Linked DNA regions of Bombyx mori. The protein of the gene in region 5 purifies or fractionates together with the protein of the main gene of each other region. This does not show direct contact. Links are inferred from orthologs where the notes say so. Each region holds a gene or a part of one and is shown on either strand. Other genes may lie near its edges. The genes, in order: THO complex subunit 2, regulator of nonsense transcripts 1, exportin-1, ALY and nuclear cap-binding protein subunit 1.

Region 1 (3,977 bases), on a different chromosome or scaffold from region 5:
ATGTATTCATTTACCTTTCCAAACACAACAATGTCTCTGTTGCGCCGCCAATATACAAAGAGATATGTCTAAGTTGTTTCCGACTATGGCATCTTTCAGTCGCGCAGAAGAGCGTCTCGTGTTACGCACTTGTGAAAAGTAACCAGCCTGTACAAATGTGTGATTTGAATAACTGAACAAAAAATCAGATTTAGCTTCAGCTTAATATTTTTTTACCTCTCCTTTAAGTAGTTCACCTCCTGCCATAGCCTCTAACTGCTCGGGTGTCATTTCCTCAGCAGCTTCTATACCGGCCATTTTTTGTACTATTTCTTTTAATACTATCAGGTCTTGACTGAAAATATATGATTTTTATTACATTGCGAATCTTCGTTGTTCATACTGTTACGCCGGTAAGAGCATCGCCATCTATCGTCGAATAGCAGAAACGAATATTAAAAGAACTTATAAAATCGAGAACGCTCAAGAAGTACAACGCTATCTATAGTCAAATAGCACATATTATAGCACATATTGAAACTACTCGACTTGTCAGGTATGTTCTCGATAACAAAATTCTAGGGATGTGGTATCTACTATAAAAGCATTGCAGAGATGACCCAGAATTAATTAGTAACCGAATCTACTCGAAGCGAAACGGCGAACGGATTACCTGAAGTGTAAGTGTTTTAAGTGTTAAATAGAATTTGAATTTGTACTTCGGTGGAAGTTTTATTTATTCCGAACACCAGCGCCTAACAATACTTTGTAACCGAATGCATACCTCTGTTGAGCTTTGAGTCGATTAGCAACAAACTGCAAAAGAGCAGTTAACTCAATATTGTGTTTCTTGAAGGCTGCCCCGGCGAACGAGGCTAGTGCTTGTAGCCACGCAGGTGGCGTCGAACGTCGAGAGCCTAAAGCCTCAACTAAACAGTATCCCAGAACATCTAAAGATAGAGACGTCAAATATTTCATGGATTCTACTACTGGTCCTATCAGATTGTCGTATGTTTGTATCTGGAACAGAAATTATTGTTTTATAGCACATTCATAAAACATTAAAGGAAGAAGTAAAACTGTTTTATGGACTGAATGCCAATTACCTGCAAGAGCACGTAATCAAACAGAAAGGCCGGGGCGGCGTGCGACAGTTTCCCGATGAGACGACCTTGGGGCTTGATATTCTCTTTGGATACTCGTTTCATTATGTGTTTTATTTTCTGCAATGAGTTCCCCCGGACACGAATGAGAGCAGGTATTCGTTCGCCAGCCTCATTTTTCCAACGCGCATAGAGACAGTATCTTAAATAAGTTTGCAAAATAAAATAAACATCAAGATTTATGTAATTTAGCATATTTTATTAGTTATTAATTATTCTTTACCTGCACTGATATGGATATAACTTAAGTAATGTGTACACCTCTTCAGCCATACAACAATTCCCTTCCATCAGTGTAAGAGCCGGTAATATTGCGGTATCCAAAACGGTTAGTGCCTCAAAATGTAACGGATCATCTTTTTGACCGCGAGCAGTTCTAAGTATTCTAATGACCTAATAAAAAAATCAAAATTGAGTGGGTGAGCGTAAACTCAATAAATGGTGATGAATCTCCTTTTAGAATTTTCAAATGGTGCAATTAAAACCTATCAGATGCTAAATGGATAATCCTTTCCTTACTTAGTTTCCCAATGATAATCTATTTGTTGTGTGACTTTTTAAAGTGATAATTTGTTCTCAGACGGCTACCGCGCATTGTCGTGCATTTATACACTATGATTTGTACACGATCGCACTCGCCTTCCGACAGTGTTATTATAACTATTTAACGCATATTAACGCATTGTCTCTTATTAGATAGCTTATTCCAAGCTTCAACCCAATTTGCTTTTATTTGTCTCCAGACAGTGGTTATGTAGGTAAAGGATATAGATTTTATGGAGTCGGATTAAAAAGTATATTACTTTGTCTATTGGCGCCTACAAACAAACCAATAAGATCCTTAAAACTGATGGAAATTAGACACCTATAGATATCAATTGTTGAAAGAATTTTACTATCATTAACACTAAATTTCAAACAAATTGAACATAGACGAATTCATAGTTAAAATAACTTGAACTTAATAAATATAGATTAAGAAAATAAGACAAAAAAATAGTACGACAATCTCTCTTCATTTATTTACATCAACAATGATAAGTAATGAGTTTCTCATCGGATCTTCTCAGTGGTTCGTGATTCCTATCGGTGTTATATTTGACAAAGCACTGCTTCTGCTAGGATTAGCGTTAGAAAATTCTTTCACAATGTACATGAACACTGTGAGGGAGCTCACTAACCAAGGTGAAGCCAGAATAGCCCCTCGAGAGTACTGGCAGATGAAAAAGAAGTCCTTCCATATAGTCGGATCCCATATCGATTAATTTCTTAAAATAATTTTACAAATTATTTCTGAAGTCTGCCTATAAGGGCAATAAAATAAAATAAAACTTACTTTGTACATCAAGACAGGGTCATGATGAAGGGCTGGACCAAGCAATATAAGGGCTGGTATAACTGTTTCTTTCATGTCTTCGAATGTTTTACAATTAGGTGGTGCTAAATTTGATTTAAGTGGAGGTACTGGTTTTCCGAGTATTTTTGAAGCTACTCGGCATTGCCTAAAAATTTAATTATTTATTGAAAGAAATAATTGTAAATTTTTTTAGAAAACTCTCTTATAAAATATAGAAAAGATTCATGGTAAAGCTGTACATTATATTCATTGTAGTAATCTCTAATAAATCATTCATTACTAAAATAACAGTTTATTACATTGAATTTATACATATTTTTTTTTATTGCTTAGATGGTTGGACGAGCTCACAGCCCACCTGGTGTTAAGTGGTTACTGGAGCCCATAGACATCCACAACGTAAATGCGCCACCCACCTTGAGATATAAGTTCTAAGGTCTCAGTATAGTTACAACGGCTGCCCCACCCTTCAAACCGAAACGCATTACTGCTTCACGGCAGAAATAGGCAGGGCGGTGGTACCCACCCGCGCGGTCTCACAAGAAGTCCTACCACCAGTAAATACATCCTTTAAGACAACCTTATTGAATTCAAAGGTAAGACTTACTTTCGATACAATGGTTCTACAACAGCATGCAGCAACCCACAAAGGGCTATTGCTGGTCTTGGCGGCATCGTAGTAGTGGGAAGACGCGCAAACAGTGAGGCAAACTCTCGCCACGCATTGACTCTCAATAAAGTTTCACATAACACTAGCTTTTGATTGCTCCAATATTCCTAAATAAATAAATAAACTATTCAAGCATTCCACATTCAAAAGCCTAATAGATACTGTGCTTGAGGTTCCAGAAAAATACAACACAAGAATATAACAATGAACAGACAAAAATGGGAATCGAGCCTGGATCCCAGTGTTAAGTAATTAGGAATAAAGAATCCATCAAAATTACTAAAATTTATGAAACATTGAATTGTTTGCCTTTTGGCCATTTTTCAAATATCTAAAATATCACATATTCATATTAATTACTAGTTAACTACTACGTTACTACACAATATTTTACTAGTTACCTGCGGATCAGCTTTATCTTCTATAAATTCAGTGGGGGCATTTGTTTGTGGTCCTTTGGTAGACACAATGTTAATTTTTCTTATATATTCTTGAACTGCTTTTATTTCTTTATCAGCTTGTTTAGCTATTATCACATCATCTGGGCGAAGCTACCAACAAAATAGTAAGAAACATTTTTCATTAATATTGCTAACATACTTTAATTTTATATATTCATAGAATTATTGTACTCACCCATGGATAGATGTCATCTAATGATATAACCTGATGTTGTAAAAGCAATGCAATTACAGTCATCAACGGTGGAGGTTCTGTATAGTTATCAAGAATTTCCATATTACTCAGTTTGAAACCTAAAACCTCAGAAATTACATGAGGATCTGCCATGTAACTCTTAATAAGCGGT
Region 2 (4,458 bases), about 2.6 Mb from region 5:
CATAATTTTTTTCTTCAAAACAGTTTTAAAACTCTTGTTTTGTCTCCCAATACTATTTATATGTATAAAACTATATTTTATTATACATCATATTATTATATGTATTGTTTTGTTTATAAAAAGGTATAAATAAGTAAATTAATTAATATTTCTATAAATGTCTAATTTGTATATAAAAATTTACTTGTCTAGCTCGCATTTGTTCTGTTTCTGATGGCACTTTCACCAACCAAGACAGGAAGGCACGATCAGCTGTAATTATAATGAATATTGTCGGTTAATATTTAAAAGCTATCTATCTATTTTTATGTCATATACTAAAACATTTTATGTTCTTAATAGGTTTTAAAATTGGTCAAGATGAAGTTACATAAAGAAATTTTACATTGAAAGTCTTTCTATTCATCTATTTGTTAAGTCTTAAGAGTATGATTAAAAGACAGCTCGTGATGATGTGGTATAATGACAATAATGCATAATGACTTGAATTGTGGGATAAGAATACTGGTTAGAGTAATTTCTTATCTGAGATCATTTTTAGACTTTGAAATGGAGTTTTCGACTTCATATCTCAAGGTAAGTAGTGTCAATATTGATACTGTTGTAACTACTAACATCATGTGGGCTGTAATATATTTTATATATAAATCTACATCATCATTTACAAGTCTTTCCAGGTCAACTTCAGGATGCTATGTTCATGATCACTATTTATCAGGTTTAGATATAAAACTTGTTATGTATAAACACATAAATAAATGTAAGCTTATCAGTACTACAAATCATTTGATTTTTTATGTTTTAAAAGATATAAACATACATATCAGAGGTTTCCACTGTTCCTGATCCCAGTTCATATCCTTCAAAGAGCTTTGAGCTGCACAAGGTTGTCTGAAAATTCAATTCTTGATATTAAATGTAGCGGGCAGTCGATAATTATCTAATTTATCTTGGTTTCAATTGTTTTATAGTTTTTTTTTCTCTGAGCACTGAGATAATTCTTCTTATTTGTACACTCTTGACAGAGTGGTCGTGGTCAGTGGATCAGTCGGATCCTGCAATACCGATGCTCTCGCGATGCGACACCATGTGGCGCAGTGTTTCACAGAGTGAGAGCAATCGTTTATGTTGGAGTGAGTCACAGATTTTATGACTGAGATAATAGCATATTACATATTAATGAGTGATTATTAAGTTTAAAAAAAATATCATACCGGCAAAGTAGCACAACAACAGAATCAGCTTTAGCTGGTATAAAGCCGAGTACGAATACATTCCGAGCACCACATGAGTAACATTCCAGAAGGGTTTCGCCAAGTGGCCCGTCACGGTGCAATGCAGCTTCCTTGTGCTTTGCACGTACTAAATGGTTGATGATATGAGAGCCTGAAGTGTTACCGCGGCCATTACAGAACCTGGAAAATATTATTCTTAAGGAATCAGAGTATATTCAATAAATTGTGTATAACATAATCTTCACTGCAATTTCTTTCAGACATTTAATTTTATTAAAATTTTCTTAATTTTTAAGTCATAAAGTACTAATTCTTTATAATCTTTATATTTCCAATTGCTCAGTAGTATGCAAGTGTTTTGTTTTATCTATCTCTAAAGTGTATCCGATCTATGATGTAGCATAGCTGTATTATATACTTCAATATCTAAATTTTGTAATTCAAGTAGGTCATTTTCAATGAGTTATAACATTACTACTTGAATCCAGTAAATTTTTCCCCTGATTTATTCCTCTACTCAGTTGATAATTACCAATGTAGGGCATGCTCAAAGAAGATGTAGGAACAGAATCTAAAGCAAATTCATTGTAACAAAGGCAACTTATTAATCTGCAATCTACATTCCAATAACTGTGTAAAGTTACAAAGATCTAACTAATTTTAAGTTGTTTCCAGGGCCCATGGATAACAGAACCATGTCTGTTTTGAGAGACACAAAAGACATGCCTGTTTTGAGAGGCCACAGTTCTATTTGAGTTGCTATTACTTTCCTAACATTCTAATTTCATTAGACAGATAATCATGAAAGATGTAACAACCCATGTTGATAAAATAAACCAATACTTAAAATAGTTAGGAAGCAGAGGTCAGTTTCATGTATATTGTAAAAAAACGTCTATAAATACTACATTTTTGGGATTATGATACTACTTACCACTTGTTGCATATGTTACACATAACGACTGTGGCCGGGTCGTGTATGCCACAGTATTTACAAGCATGATCTGGAAGTTCCTTGTTGCTGTACAAAGCCTCATCTTCCTCTTCGAATTGCAGCTCCGGTATCGTATTAGTCACGTTAGAGATTTTAGACGACAATTCTATACGTCCTATTCCGTTAACCTACAACGTGATAAATGTCAATAGTTACTGATCTTTCTGTGAGTTGAAGTGATGTGTCTTCGGTGGTGTTCTACATACCTGGTTGGATGAAGACAACCCATGGTCATGTTGTGAAGCCTGTGTCTGGCTCTGAGAGGGTAATGTAAAATCCGTGAACTCAAACTCAGAGCCTTGAGTGTCTGCTCCAATAAAGTCCCCTTCCTCTGTTTCCAGAAACGTGAGCGATTGCGAGCTTGGGTCGAATGCTTCAACACTCATTTTTAATGACGAATTTAAACAAACAAAATTAATCCAAAAGAAAATATATAGAACGACTATTGGCTGATATTTCCATAGCAGTCACGCAGTTATTCAAACGACACACAAATCGTGACGAAAATTCGACATGTTAACACATGGTTTGTTTCCGTATAAAGTTTTATATAAATTGTCTGTTATTCTATTTGTCAATTAATAATTTCAAAGTTTTGTACCAATCAAATCTTTGAGTGCAGTTTAGCTGTCTGTTTTTTAACCAATTAAAGTACAGAAAAACAAACTATTCCAAGTGAGAAAATTTAAGTACAGATAAAATATATTTACAACTCAAAGCTGTCACTTACTATTGCCACAAGACGCAACACTGGGCAATAGAGGCCAGGTCACAAGTACTACTTAATTGAGAAATATGACCGGATAAACTTAAATATACTTTTTTCTCTTCACTGTACCGATTTTCTCACTACAAAATAATCTAAATGACGCGAATGGACCTGGACTAACGGGCAAGATTGTTGTTGCGAGAGCGTTGCCAGCTGGGTTCAAATGCTGCGAAAAGTAAGAATTTTAGCTAGTTATTCATGTGTTCATAATGACAGCGTTATTAAATGAATGCCTTTAAAAATTTTTTCGGGTAAAAAAATTAAAATTTCCAAATATTCGTCAATACATAGATTACAATAATGGAAACTAGATATCTTATGAAACAATCAAGTGTTTGGAATTCATGATGAATCGGAGTGGGATAGTCGTTGTATCACACAATTGAAACCTCATATCCGGCGTACACCAGTTTGGGCACCGTTGATATAGTAAATTTAGTATTTTTTCATTAAATTTTTTTAGTTTATGAGTTTCTTAGGATCTATGTCGGAAAATTAAACAATATCGTTTTAGTTTTCATTTTCATTCAAAAAGACAAGTGAATTCACAATAAATTCCCACCATTTTACTGAGAGGCTACTGTATTTAATCTCATCTAAGATTTGAAGTGTTGTGATGTGTTGATGAGGTGTGTGGTGTGTTGAGGTGTGTGGTGAATTTGAGGTTGATTCATTTACCCTATTTAATTCCATTCCGTAATCAATTTCATTTCATTTTTTAAACAACAGATTTAGTTCAGTCAAAAGCTTTGCTGTATAGGCTATGCTCCCTTTGCTTGTCAAGTAGACGATTCAAATCAAACATTACATATCCTCACATTCCCGCCAAAAGTCAAAAGTACCGTAGTGTGTTGAATTAGTCTAGACCTTCATGTGAATGATCATCAAAAGATGTATTTAAATATTTGTACTATAAATTTGTTATTAAGATTAACAAAATTATTTATTCAACCATCTTAACAACGGGACGAGGAGATAACTTCATAGCTTGATAGATGGCGCTTTAACTGTGTATCAATGTCGCGCCACGAATGCAGAATATTTAGTATCGTTTTAAATTTTTTTTTTTTTTCGCGAGATGTTTTCGAGAAATTCCTTATTTAATTTTCAAACTTGGAGCTATGACTTGACTTTATACTAAGAATATGTAGTAATCTAGTATGTTTTAGGAATATCACCTGCGCGACCACCCACTTCGACCAATAATATCCTGAGCGAGGAAGTTTTAGCTATCCTGAATAAATCAATGACCTGCTTGTTTCTACTTTATTTGACTGCGATCGCGTCGAGCTTTTCGTCGGCCGACTACCCGATGATCTTCAATCGGAGACAAATATTCCTTCGTAATAAGTTGACACTACACAATTGGCATACGTCCAATATTGACCATGCGATCGTAGTGTTAGATCATGCCGCTGACATTTACCTTCTTCCTCACACATTTCCTTTAAAAATACATT
Region 3 (4,642 bases), on a different chromosome or scaffold from region 5:
TTGGTAATCCAAAAGCACAGCATCGAGAAGAGGTGGAATAAAGTTTTCCAAAACCATACTGTTATCAATCGAGCGTGTAACCCAACTTGAAATAAGGTTCAAAGTTTCCTTTTTTATTATTCTCATATTCTTAATGAGAGGTTGTTTAGTAACTGCTACGCCATTTAAAGCTATGGCTTGACTTATATTTTCAGACATTACTTTGTAAACATTAAGCATGTCAAGGTATATCCTTCCTAATTGCACAACATATGGGTGTGCTAGTGCACGACATGCACGCACATTTGTTTTCAGTATACTTACAAGTTGTTTAACAGCTTCAGGGTCTTTCAAGATTTCAACATTACGAGAAGCTTGAGATATAATATCATCCCAAACTTGATTAGGCAGAAGCATGTATTTTTCAATTAAAAGTTCTTGGGCTACTTGATCTACTTGGGCACTGATCATGTATCCAACAGCTTCATAAAAAGTGTGAACTTGCAATGTTTGTAAATCACAAATTATAGTACTAATGGTGCCCAATATTTCTTCAATAAAAGGACAGGCTTCTCCAACTTGAGTAGTGACAAAATGTCGACGGCATTTTATAGCAATTTTTATGAATGTATCACACGCCATGTCTTGGACACCATCATGTGTTTCATGCATGAATTCAAAAAGTTTATTGACAACGGTTTTTAAAAATTTCCAATGTGCACGAAGAAAGCGTGGGTATTGTCCTACGACATACATTATGTTACTAGCAATTATAGCTTTGTTATCTTTTCCCTTTTTCTGTTCACAGAGACCTAGAAGCTCTTTAATCACAATAACCAAAAATCTCTTTTCATCATCCTCAGATAGAGCTCCAGAAATAGATCCAATTGCCCAACATAATGTGTTCAAGTTCTTCCATGACCACTCAGTACCATTTACTTGATTTTGTAATTTCTCTGTCATAATACGTTCAGTATCTAAATAGTCTAAATGTGTCAAGTAAACTAATGTTTCTCTCATATTTTTATACAAATTAATGGAGTCTGTGTCCTTCATAAATTCTCTCACAACTTCACCATTTTCATTTTCAACAACTAACACCTCTTCTGGTTTTGCCATTCTCGAGATCATAATATACCGAACACTGCTCAAGACATCAGCATACAAAGCTTTTCGGCCTCCACTTTTACCCAAATGGTACAAGTTTGACGAACATGGCGCAATTTTGTACAAATCAGCAGCAAGAGCATTCCAATATTCAAGACAAATTTTGAAAATTTCTACATCTTCTACCTCTGATATTAAGACAAGATACCTCAAACCATTCATTAAAGTGTTTGTTAATCCACTCTTTTCTATGAGCGGACCATGCTCTTTTAGATATGTGCATAAGAAAAGTGCAAGATTTTGAATAAAAACTTGTTCCTGATCTCGACCAGCTACATATGCTTCACGTATGTTTGTAGTTAGAGGAAGCATAACTTCAAGTTGTTCCATAGTTTGTACAAACAAATAAACAAACTGCTGATCATAATTGCTGACTGTGACACCGGCAATTTCAGTAAGACAGCTCAATGTTACATTCCTAAACATCGGCACGTTCAGAAACTTAAATATCAATGTGCTTATCAATTTCATTTCGAAAATATAACCAAGTGGAATCCAATTTAAAAATCTCAAAAGAGTGTCTAAGGTCACTCCAACTAAAGGTGCATTTTGTGAATTTTCCAAGACAAATTGGCATAGCTGAAAGATTTGACTGAATTCTGAACACATTGTATCTTTTAGATGCTTAGCTTTTGTTTGTGTGAGCTGGCCTGTACTAAACATAAATACTTCTTCACTCAACAACTTGAATATTTCCATATTGTTTTGACAGAGACTTTCATTCGTCTTTGAGGCACCCACAATGTCACTGATAAAAGTTTCCCAATTATGGGGCCATTCTCTTTTCAGAACTTGAATAAGGATCATGTTTAGTTTTTTCAAATAAACTTTGTTGCTTTCCATCGTAACAGGATCTGATGAATTTTTAATGATAAGGCCAACTATATATTTTTTTATACCCTCACACTGATTTCTTGGTAATATTTTCCATCTCGTTAGTATTACTTGTTCTAATATTTGTAATGCATAATATTTAGTTTCTTGATTTTGAGAATATTCAAGTATTGTATCAACACGAGTCCAAGCATCAGGATGTTCCTTCAAAGCAGTCAGTATATCCTGAGCAACACGTTGTTGATCCCCAACAGCAGAATATAAACAGCCAACAATGTTGTCCAATAAATTGATGTCCAATTTTTGATTGAAATCCAAAAGTTTAGATGCCTGTTGTTCTAAGGTTGCCATTCTGGTAAAATATATTTATTTAGTTAATTTGTTCCCTTTTTTCCAAAATCAAAATTATTTTGATTAATCCACATTCATTCCTCACCTTATACAACACTGAAAATGAAACAAAACTCTGTGTTAACAGACTCTACTGACTCTAACCTCCATATCCTAATTGTTTGTTTGTTTAACAAACACCGACTTAACAATTATGCTAGTAAAAACTACTTTTAATACTATAATTCGGTTAAGCATTTAACTACAAACTGGGCAATTACATCATTAATTGTTTAAAACCACTAAATAGAGCACACACCCCGCAATCTTGTTGCAGATTTTACTACAAGTACATTCATTACACTAATCACAAAACGTGTACTAAGTGTAGGGATACTCGTTAGAATTGTAATTTTTCAATAACTTAAAAAGTGAATCACTTACCCGAGAAAATAATTTGCGGCGCAATCAATCTAACGCACTACCATACATACTAATCCGTTGTTTTCATGAAGCTTGAAAAAGCTTACACATTTAGTCTATGGTCATAGAAAATACTAGTGCGGAACTCCTGTTGAACGTTGCATTGCATTGACTACAGTTTACTCAATGTGATTTCTTTTAAAATTTAGTGGAGAAATCTTCTGCAAATTTAAAATTAAAAGCTAATTAATAAGAAAAACTTATTCACTTCATTCTATTGCTAATTTGGGTTCAAAAACAGAAATATGGACTTTTTAAGTTAAGTGAAGTTAAGTTGTAAGTCAAGTTAAGTCAGTGTAGCTTCCCATCTCATTTGTTCAAGTCCGTTAAGTTTCAGCAAATTTACACCAACCAACACCAACTACAATTACATTTAACCACAAGTTATTGAGATATTACTTCTTTTTATCTCACTTGCTAGGCTGTATGCTAATATTTTTTATATAATTTTTATGTTGCCATTGTAAGTTGTGAAAAATAAACTATTTTTTTTAGTTTTTGGTATCTATGGTATTTTTTATCTATGGTATTTTGTGATTAAAGGCTTATTACACTTGGCTGAATTTAGTCGACTGACTTCAGAAGCAAATTTAGAAGCTTCTGATTAAACTGTTTTAAATTCAGTTACTGAATCAATTGTCAGTTTAAGCGCGACGAAGTAAGACGTGTCGTGTGCGTAAGAGGATGGCCCCAGTATTGTCTAGACAACAACAAATTTTTTGTTTTTATTTTTTATTTCAATTTCTCAAAAAAAAAACAAGAATATCGGTAAAGAAATATTTATTGCTGTGCGGAATGTTAGCAAATATGAACATTAGAGTGATTTAGAACCAGCAGACTTCAGAAATTATCTATAAATGGATTCGATCTCGTTTGACCTAATATTAAAACTTGTGACACCGTTTATTCAAAAGCAGGATATTATCCTACGATAGTCTATTATATATCTATTTTATAACTATTACATATCTAATCCTACGATATTATAAGTCCAAAAGAAAGATTGGTTGTAACATGAAGATTTCTTGCAACAGGAAATACGTATCAAGATTTAAAATTTAGTTTTTCAATATCCCAACCCTTTATGACAAAAACTATTCCTGAAACATGTCGGGCTATTTATAAATGTCTGGCACATTAAATAAAGGCGACCGAAATCAATACTTTTTATTCGGAAGCAAAAAACAAACTAAAACGTTCTTACGCACGGAGAGCTATGGGACGACTGAAACCATTAAGTAACTAAATGCGATTACACCTTCCTAGATGCATTTCTAATTAGGCTTCTAAATGATTTAGTCAGTCAGAAACCATCCTTGCTACTGAATTCAGTAGCGACTGAATTATTTTTGTAATTTTTAAGTACCCAACCTTTACATGACCGTTCGAAAGATTAATTTATAATAAAACTCATAGAAGATAGTAAATACCATCACTCAACTTGCTAGGGCCAGTGTTGGCAACACTACCGGTTTGAGCCTCGTGAGCTAAACTACAAGGAGAAGCTGAAATAGCCTCTCAAGGATATCAGCATAGGTAGAAAACAAAAACACGCAAGCTAATTTGAAAATCAAACTGTTATATTACATATGATCCTGTTTAGCATTTATTCCTATTATAAGTATATTCTACAATCAAATTAGAATGTAAAATGAAAAAACAATGATATCAGTACCTAGTTGGAGATGTTCATGGACAAATTGAGAGACCTTAGCAGAACTAATGACGAACATGTGCTACGCAGATGACACAACACTACTTGCCACAACAGAAGCAGAGATGACAGAGCTTTTGAACAGGCTGGAGCACATAGGGTTGGAGATGGGACTTGCCATCAACAGATTCAAAA
Region 4 (4,704 bases), on a different chromosome or scaffold from region 5:
CAGCTCTCTCCCCTATAAAGCTCACCCTGCACCCACATCACCCCCGACCTGTGTGGCAGGGAGCTTCTGTCCAAGCAGTGGGGTTTGCCCGAGGCCCGTTCCGTGCCCCTGTAAGGGGGTACGACAACTCCTTTTATAAATGAACTTTGATGTTGCCGTAGCTTTAAATATGACTGTTGATGTGCTGAAATTGAGTGTAATGACCATGAAAATTTTTTGAAAAAGTATTTCTCATTGTTTTTGACAGACTTCCACATTGAACGAATAACATCACCAGTAGCTACGTATAATTTTTAACCTACACAGGTAGTGATGTTTGGAGGTGGAGCAGTGATACGCTTAAGATCTAGGCAGTTTCCAAATCGGCAGATGCCGAATGCAGATGCATTCACTGTAATACAGTTGAATTACGATAACCTCCTTAAAAATGTTTACACTTGTGTACACAACTACAGACTAAAAAGAAATCTATACAAGAAAATTTCAAATCTGGGTTTATTTATCCAATTTAATACATGTACTAGAATTATAATTTCTTTATAATTCGTAGTCTTTTATTAGTATAACCTATACTTTTACAATTAATCTAGAACATTGAGAACACAAAGCTTATTCATTCATATTTTAAGATAAAACTGAGTGTCTATGCACATTCTCATTAGTTATTCACTTGATTTCTTTCACATATGCATCAAGCTCTGCATCTAATTGTTCTGCAGTAGGTACTGGTCGTTTGCCTCTGCCTGCACCACCACGTCCTCTTCTGTTTCCCCCACGTGCTCCACTATTGCTTTGATTTCTAATTCCTCCACCTCCTTCAAAAATAAAATAATTAATGGATTTCTAGTAATTTGTAACTTGCAAACAGTAAAGTGAAAATGTACAACAAGAACTAGTGGGAAAATATCAGTTTTAAAAAAAGTAATTAATTTTAATAATGTTTTTTTAAATGAAGGATTTAGGGCCGGAGGCCTTTCCAGTTACACCACGAATGCTTAGCCAGAAGAGAAGGGTTTGCTAACAGTTGAACACCTCCGAAAGAGGTCTAACACAATTCATGGGCAGCTGCTTTGCAAATGAATCTACTACCAGATCAGTAGTCTGTCTATGGATTAGGTTGCACATCAAACTCTTTAGAGTTCAATGAGTATGGTTAGTGTTAAAGCAGGTGTCTAATGCAAGAGTTATTGGATCTGATGGATCCGTAATTATGTGTCTAGGACATCAACAGTTAGTCTCTGCTGTGGGTAGAAATAGTCAGCGGCAGCAACAATATGGCGATTATCATGACCAATGGCCTTATTGAAGTATCTTTCCGACAATAACTAGGTGTTTCCAGATTGATTCGACTAAGAGGCCATCTTGTATATGGTGATTTGTCACAAATCACAATGATGTAATTTGTTATCACTCCTCCCATACAAACAAATCCTGGAAAATATCTTACCTCTTTTAGGATTGTTTCGTATAGTACCTCCCACACTCGCACCACCAATTCGATTTCTAGCCTCGGGCCTTAAAGTATTGATTTCAGATGTTGCCAATTGTATATTCATTGCCCGTCCATCAAGTGGCACTCCGTTATACTGTTTCATAGCCTTCACAGCATCTGCTTTTCTTTCAAACACAACATCTGCAGTACCTAAAAAAATTTAAAAATATCTTGTATGATGAAATACTTAATGGAACAAACTAAGTTTTTATGCTTTGTGATACATACCTAAAGATCTACCTGACCGATCATAATGTACAGATGCACTTTTGAGGATGCCAAATTCCGAAAATAGTTCCTTTATATCTGAATCTGATACTCCAAAGTCCAAATTGGATACAAGCAGCTTGGTAGGACCAGTTGTTATGGTCCCACTGTTTCTTTGAAGTTTCCTCTCACCAAAATCATTGAACATATCATGTTTCCAAGTGCTGTTCACATCACCCTGAAAAGGTCATCCTTCATAGAGCTAGCCATGTGGCTACTCTCTATGCCTCCTTTGAATATAATAAAAACTCAAAGCTTAGGCACTAAAATTAATACATTGACATCTGAACCACTTGATAAAATAACATTTGATGTAGTTTACATGTTTTTTTTCGAAAATTAAAATATAGAACTGTTTTATCACTTTCATCACACAGACACAAGACTAATAAGTTATGAAGCACAACCAGTCTCAGCCGTCCATGGAGTCCATTTATTTACTTTTCAACTCCTGAAGTCAATTCTATAAATTGGTCAAAACTGCACTGTAGACATCTCCACAAAAGTAACGTTTTGCTCGAATTCATTACACTTTTATATCAGCATCCATCATAGAATTTTCCGGCAGATGTAGGTAAACAATGCAAAACAAAAACGTTGATGGAGATAACAATATGGTTGCTGGGATTATGGTTTCAAGTTGAAAATAGGTCGGATACGAATAAAATAAGGGTCTTGATTTGAATCAAAGTGTCAAATTTCGTCTAAAACTATTTCAACAAGATGGTCCATATGGTTGCTTGACTTTTTGAGAACAAATTAGATACATTGATGCGTCACATTTGCCCGCCATTTGTAATTTTAGAATCATCTAATTATTGGAATTACCCTCGAATAGTTGGTAGATTTCGTTATGCCTCCACGATTTCTACCTCGTTGTACACCACCAGAGCGGTTGCTACGAAATCCAGCACCGCCTCCACGTCCTGTTCTTTTGTTTGCATCAAATTTTCTTCCAGCACCACCTCCAATCCTTGTCTTTTTGTTGGCTTTTATAATATCATCCAGTGCCATTTCAATTTGATCAACCATGGTGATTATTTGAAATTCTAAATATTTTTTCTATGAAAATTAAGTCAAAAACAAAAACAATCCTTTTAGAACTCTTCCTTCCCAAGTAGACGGTGACAAAATGGCCGAAGAAAAGATTCGTTATTGCCAGATTGCTAATATTAGTTCAACAGTAGATTGAAAAAAATTGTTGAGCTTTAAATTTGGTAGAAATTATAGTCAATAAAGACTATCTTACACATCTGTCTTAGTTTATTTTATTTTACATTTACCAGTTGATTTGGTCAAATCTTTCTGTTTAAAAAATTAAGCGCTTAGTTTTAATCTTTAACTAGGTAATCAAATCACGTAATGCTAATGCACTCAAAATTCAAATATTAAGAAGTGTATTATTTATGGTTCGAGATTTTTGGCGCGAGGAGTGAAGTTGTGTGTTTTGTTTTATTTTGTCTATTTAGTGTTTCTCCAAGTTTAAATGTGTAATAACGGTGGTTTATAACCTGTTTAATATCTGTGAAAGTGCACAAATGTGGGAAAATTGAAACAAAGCCGCTGAGCATAACTTTTTGGGATCCTCTAAAAAGTCCACTGAAAAAGTCTCAGTAAATGACTACCATTTTACTGAGATTATATTTCATCCCATATCATCTCATCTCATTTCATTTCATTCCATTTCATTTTCATTTCATTTCATTTCATGTTATGTTTCATATTAATCAACTTCATTTCATTTCATAAATCATTTTACATATAAAAAATATATAAAAGATTACGCTTTATGGTATGATACCTTTGCCTTTCCAATAATATATTAAGTGTATAATCTATGAATAAAACTGCTACTACTATCTATGGTTCGAATTTTGAATTTTATAGTTTCCTCAAGCTTGTAAACCAATCCACAATTTAAATAAATCGTTTTTATTAAAGTATCTGTACTTACATACTAGAAGCGATTTAAAAATACTGTTATAAAAACAATATGACTGTTGGGGAAACAGGCCAAAATTTGCCATGGTATGAACTATCATTAACAATGATTTAAACAAAAAAATCATAACTCAATATATTTTACTACGACGATTAACACTTTGTTTTTACGCAGGGTTGAAAAATATCGCCCAAAAAGATTGGATGATTTAGTATCTCATGATGATATAATAAAAACAAGTAAGTATAAATTTCTGAAACTAATGATCACATTATTTTAAAGAGACTATCAAATTTAAGGCTATAAAAATTGGACTTGAATCAGGTTGATATTAAGTTGCTAACCGTAATACGAATACCTTATAACAGTTAATGCATAAACCCCCTCTTCGTACCAGTATGTTTTGTACATTGTAACATAAAGTAAAGGATTTTTCTTTTTGTTCTTCTAGAGTACTTTGTTTACATCTTAATTGAGGCAGCAGCCTTCCAACCACTACATCCCTATTTTTGTGAGATTAGGTACTAGCCCTAGTACAGTAATATATGTATTTACTGAGATTAGAATATTGTCATTACAGTAAATCAATTTATGAAAGAGAATCAGCTCCCACATCTACTATTCTACGGTCCTCCTGGAACCGGGAAGACATCTACCATTCTAGCCTGTGCCAAACAAATGTACACTCCACAGCAATTTAGTTCGATGGTATGTAAATTTTTAGACCAGTTAATTAACAGCAAAATTAAGAATCTGATTAGCATTTTTAAATAGTTGGTCATAAATATCGTAATTAAGTTACTTAGATTGCATCTAAGTAGCAATATAATTCAATAAGCAATATAATTCCTTATAAAATATAATTCCTATCTGAAAAAATCTGTATTAAAGAACCTAAAATGATAGTTGCTTTAATGAAAATTTACTGATTGCACAATACAAGGTGTACTAAAACCATTCCTGGAAATGAAGACAGGTTGCTGACTCTTAAATTAAAGCATCA
Region 5 (3,977 bases):
CTGGTCTTTCTTCTTCTTACTGTTCTCATCTTCAGAATCCGAACTGCTCGAGTCCGCTCTCGCTAATGCTTCGCGGGCTTCCTGGAGTTCTGCACCTGTTAAACAAATTGGATGTTGTAATTTTTTTTTTGCTTCACGGCAGAAATAGGCAGGATGGTGGTACCTACCCGTGCGGACCAGTAATTACGCAAATTATAATTTTGCGGGTATGATTTTTATTACACGATGTTCCTTTCACCGTGGAAGTCAATCGCGAGCATTTGTTGAGTACGTATTTCATTAGAAAAATTGGTACCCGCCTGCGGGATTCGAACACCGTTGCCATCGCTCAACACGAGTGCACTGGACGTCTTATCCTTTGGCCACGACGACTTTAAACCTCTGCTTGCATCTACCGTCATAGATTTTGATTTGTAAAACACAAGCAACTTACTGAGCTTCGACACGTGCTTGTTCATTTTGTCGATGGTCAGATGCAGCATCTCCCAGAGGCAGCCGTGCGTGAAGTAGGGCGCCATCTCCTTCGAGAAGAGCCACGTGGCGACGGCGCTGCACTCGACGATCTGAGTCTTGAGCATCTTGTCGATGAGCACGCAGACCATCTGCGGGTGTCGCTGCCACAGCTCCCACACGTTGCGGAGGATGCATATCTGCGCCTCCTCAGACTCGGCTAAGATCTGTAAAATTTAATAAACGTTTTCAAAATCACGAGTTCAATTTTTTTAATTTTTTTTGCTTAGATGGGTGGACGAGCTCTCAGCCCACCTGATGTTAAGTGGTTACTGGAGCCCGTAGACATCTACAATGTAAATGCCGCCACCCGCCTTAAGACATTAGTTCTAAAGCCTCCGTTTTTACAGTGGTTGCCCCACCCTTCAAACCGTAACACATTACTGCTTCACGGCAGAAATAGGCGGGGTGATGGTACCTACCCGTGCGACTCACAAGAGGTCCTACCACGAGTAATATTCCACTAGTAATATACCACCAGTTCGATTCAGTTTTCGTAAGTTATATCCATGCCACCGGTGACCGAACACTATGGACGAAAGTCACATGTGGTCGCGATCCTCAGCCGTGAGCGAACGATGAAGAAGAAGGTTCCGTGTAGTCAACTTTTATACAATTATCACTTCATAATTTGGATCATATTGGGATATACTATTGGTAAAGGAACGTCTTTATTTTCCGAAATGTGTAACTGTAATACGGATGTAATTCTCGGATAGTGTTTTTTTTCTGTTTAACGCGAACTAACCTTAAAAACGTAATGAAACTTCGAGATCGCAGCGAAACTGTGCGAAATGCTCTTGCTGCCGAGATTCAGCAGGGTCTGCACGAAGACGTCGATTTTCAGGGGGTTGTACGCGGTCGGCTGGTTGGCCGTTTGTTCGCCCTCCTTGAGGGGGTTCGGTAGGTCGCGGAGAACGTTCAAGGCTTCTTCGGGTGTGCACTTGTTACGCACGAATACAACGAGCTGATGGGCGGCTTCGGTGCCGGGTAGAGCAGCTGTTTAAAAAAAAACATTCCTAAATTTAAAAAAAAAACTAAGCACATACTTCTTATACTTAGATACTAGAAAGTACCGACAGGATTATATCTTATCTTATATCTTTAAACGAGAAATTCTTGTATAGTTCTTCAACTAACCATATTTCACATACGTGTTTAAACTACTGCAGATGATCCATCAACAATTAATGTAGATGGTAACAACGTGATAGCTAGAGACCATAGCGAACAATACCACGACTGAGCGGTTGCGTAAAATTACCACACCTCCGTTCCGAAGCAATGGTAACGATCATGAGAATATTTCGTTCATTCACTAAAACTTCGATATAAATCTTTCTTTCTTATCTTTAATATGTTTCTTTCTTATCTTTCGTATTTTTAATACGGTTTGTTTTCGAATAGACCATCACGGTATTCATATTGCACTAGACAGATGGAGGTACCTATACTGAGACCCTTAGAACTTATATCTCAAGGTGGGTGGCGCATTTACGTTGTAGATGTCTATGGGCTCCAGTAACCACTTAAGACCAGGTGGGCTGTGAGCTCGTCCACCCATCTAAGCAATAAAAAAAAGAAAAGGTAGTTAACGAGGTGAATAACCTAGCGTTTGGTGATAGACAGAAACAACTTAAGTCAAAGTTGAAGCCTCAATGGTTTACAGTAAATTAAAATAATTAACTCGTTCAAGTAGGAGGCGCTTAAGGAGACGAATAACATAGCCTTTGGTGATAGACGGAGACAACTTGAGACATAAAATTGAAGCTTCCATGGTTTACAGTAAATTAAAATAAAATTAACTCGTTCCAGTAAGCAAGCTTACGCGTTACATCTATCTTTTGTTTTAGATTTGGTAAAATATAAATGAAGCCAGAACACAATCTGGTGACAATAACACGCAATGAAACCTAATCTAAAATGGGCGGCCGCATGTTTGATCCTCTGTATTGAGGGAATCAGATGGGCGCCCATCAACTACCTTCATTTTACATTGCGGGTACAAAAATAATATGAACTTATTACAAATATACATTTTATATGGTGGTAATGAATTCCAAGAAAGAAAAATAATCGAATAGTGTCGACATTCAATAAACAGTGACACATCACGATAAATTGTTTTATTAATTACATTTTCTCTTTTCTATTGATGATATATTTTTTAAAGCTTTGATAGGAATAACTACTAAACGAAAGCGAAATTAAAATCGGTTATAATATATTATATCGAATCTAAAATATACATTAAGCTCTTTTTTACAACGATTTTTGTAATAACGCAAACAAACTACATATTTACTTTTTGTAGATAAAACAATATTCAAATTTACACAAGAATATTTATGTAAATAATTTAAAAAAAAAATTAGGATATTAAACGCGAATTAGCAATTCATTGGGGCATATATGCATAAAATTTATACTCCTACTTACTATTTTCGATTCTCAAGATTCTACTGCCGCGAAAATTACGAATATAAAGCGGAGAAAAATCCAAGAGATGGAAAGTGCGCACGCGACGAGCTAGAAATTTCACCGGCAAACGCGTGCTTATTACAATGTATACTTTCTTTATACGACAACATACCGTCCAAACAGAATCGTAAATTAAATAATGAATTTCAAAATTGCACACGATTCAATTAAACTAAAAACAGCATAACTCAGTAGTTGTAAAATACTTTTAAGCTTTAATCTCGTAAAAAATATATATTTTGCGGTAAACGTACACTCTTGGAAAATGTACACTTTTACCGGTAAATGTGCACATTTGCCAAAAAGTTAGGTATATGTGAACTGAATATAATGTAGATATATGTACATTTGCATATTGCTGCAAATGTGGACATTTACCGGAAAATGTGTACATTTGCCGCAATATCTATTTTTAGCGTAACATATACATTTTAAAATTTCGATCGATCTTCTAAAGTTTTCATGTTTGTGAAAATTGAATCATCATTATGATTTTTAAATAAAAAATTTATTGCACTACGTAGTTGAACGAGCTTATGGGTTCAGCAATGCGATTGCCGGAGCCCATAAACTTCACAAAACCCCGCCTTTTTTTTAAACACATCGAATTCAGAAATAGACCGTGTGATGATTAGCTCGATATTAATATGTGGCGAGTAGCTATCATACTACACAAGATATTTGACAGATGCCTGAATCTCGCTTACGGCATTTTCAAGATAAGCTTACCTACATATATACAAGTTGCGAACAACAACATTTTAATAACACTGAACGTATTATTAATTAGGCCAGGACCGCTTAAAATTTTCATAATGTCCACAACTCGCGAAAATTTTTGATGACTATTTAGAGATTCTTTGTCGCTGTCGTGAAAATCGTTGAGGAGCTAACGATGATTAAGCAATTAACGCGTTACATAACTTTCTTTTAGAGCTAAGTTTAGAGCAACAACGGTGTCTTCTTACTTGTCATTCTATATTTAA

What was found.
Region 1: the proteins of nuclear cap-binding protein subunit 1 (region 5) and THO complex subunit 2 purify together in Homo sapiens (affinity purification with western blotting; 3 studies listed by BioGRID and IntAct, with this or other methods). This does not show direct contact. The link is inferred for Bombyx mori from reciprocal best matches to the Homo sapiens genes NCBP1 and THOC2.
Region 2: the proteins of nuclear cap-binding protein subunit 1 (region 5) and regulator of nonsense transcripts 1 purify together in Homo sapiens (co-immunoprecipitation; 3 studies listed by BioGRID and IntAct, with this or other methods). This does not show direct contact. The link is inferred for Bombyx mori from reciprocal best matches to the Homo sapiens genes NCBP1 and UPF1.
Region 3: the proteins of nuclear cap-binding protein subunit 1 (region 5) and exportin-1 purify together in Homo sapiens (affinity purification with western blotting; 3 studies listed by BioGRID and IntAct, with this or other methods). This does not show direct contact. The link is inferred for Bombyx mori from reciprocal best matches to the Homo sapiens genes NCBP1 and XPO1.
Region 4: the proteins of nuclear cap-binding protein subunit 1 (region 5) and ALY purify together in Homo sapiens (affinity purification with western blotting; 6 studies listed by BioGRID and IntAct, with this or other methods). This does not show direct contact. The link is inferred for Bombyx mori from reciprocal best matches to the Homo sapiens genes NCBP1 and ALYREF.

Annotation. Positions count from the first base shown.
Region 1 is NC_085119.1:9,001,700-9,005,676, reverse strand, and holds part of THO complex subunit 2, read right to left. Parts: coding exon 3,806-3,977; intron 3,721-3,805; coding exon 3,571-3,720; intron 3,277-3,570; coding exon 3,107-3,276; intron 2,645-3,106; coding exon 2,479-2,644; intron 1,536-2,478; coding exon 1,366-1,535; intron 1,285-1,365; coding exon 1,086-1,284; intron 1,000-1,085; coding exon 764-999; intron 335-763; coding exon 217-334; intron 148-216; coding exon 15-147; intron 1-14. UniProt on the Homo sapiens protein: Component of the THO subcomplex of the TREX complex which is thought to couple mRNA transcription, processing and nuclear export, and which specifically associates with spliced mRNA and not with unspliced pre-mRNA.
Region 2 is NC_085127.1:8,613,639-8,618,096, reverse strand, and holds the start of regulator of nonsense transcripts 1, read right to left. Parts: upstream 2,918-4,458; 5' UTR 2,616-2,917; coding exon 2,436-2,615; intron 2,358-2,435; coding exon 2,170-2,357; intron 1,416-2,169; coding exon 1,215-1,415; intron 892-1,214; coding exon 821-891; intron 253-820; coding exon 185-252; intron 1-184. UniProt on the Homo sapiens protein: RNA-dependent helicase required for nonsense-mediated decay (NMD) of aberrant mRNAs containing premature stop codons and modulates the expression level of normal mRNAs.
Region 3 is NC_085118.1:10,175,296-10,179,937, reverse strand, and holds the start of exportin-1, read right to left. Parts: upstream 2,915-4,642; 5' UTR 2,755-2,914; intron 2,428-2,754; 5' UTR 2,332-2,427; coding exon 1-2,331. UniProt on the Homo sapiens protein: Mediates the nuclear export of cellular proteins (cargos) bearing a leucine-rich nuclear export signal (NES) and of RNAs.
Region 4 is NC_085114.1:10,512,125-10,516,828, forward strand, and holds ALY, read right to left. Parts: upstream 2,849-4,704; 5' UTR 2,792-2,848; coding exon 2,588-2,791; intron 1,938-2,587; coding exon 1,721-1,937; intron 1,643-1,720; coding exon 1,448-1,642; intron 816-1,447; coding exon 667-815; 3' UTR 563-666; downstream 1-562. Other genes in the region: replication factor C (activator 1) 5, read left to right, coding at 3,753-3,787, 3,876-3,940, 4,282-4,409. UniProt on the Homo sapiens protein: Functions as an mRNA export adapter; component of the transcription/export (TREX) complex which is thought to couple mRNA transcription, processing and nuclear export, and specifically associates with spliced mRNA and not with unspliced pre-mRNA.
Region 5 is NC_085127.1:11,168,680-11,172,656, reverse strand, and holds part of nuclear cap-binding protein subunit 1, read right to left. Parts: intron 1,510-3,977; coding exon 1,259-1,509; intron 678-1,258; coding exon 434-677; intron 96-433; coding exon 1-95. UniProt on the Homo sapiens protein: Component of the cap-binding complex (CBC), which binds cotranscriptionally to the 5'-cap of pre-mRNAs and is involved in various processes such as pre-mRNA splicing, translation regulation, nonsense-mediated mRNA decay, RNA-mediated gene silencing (RNAi) by microRNAs (miRNAs) and mRNA export.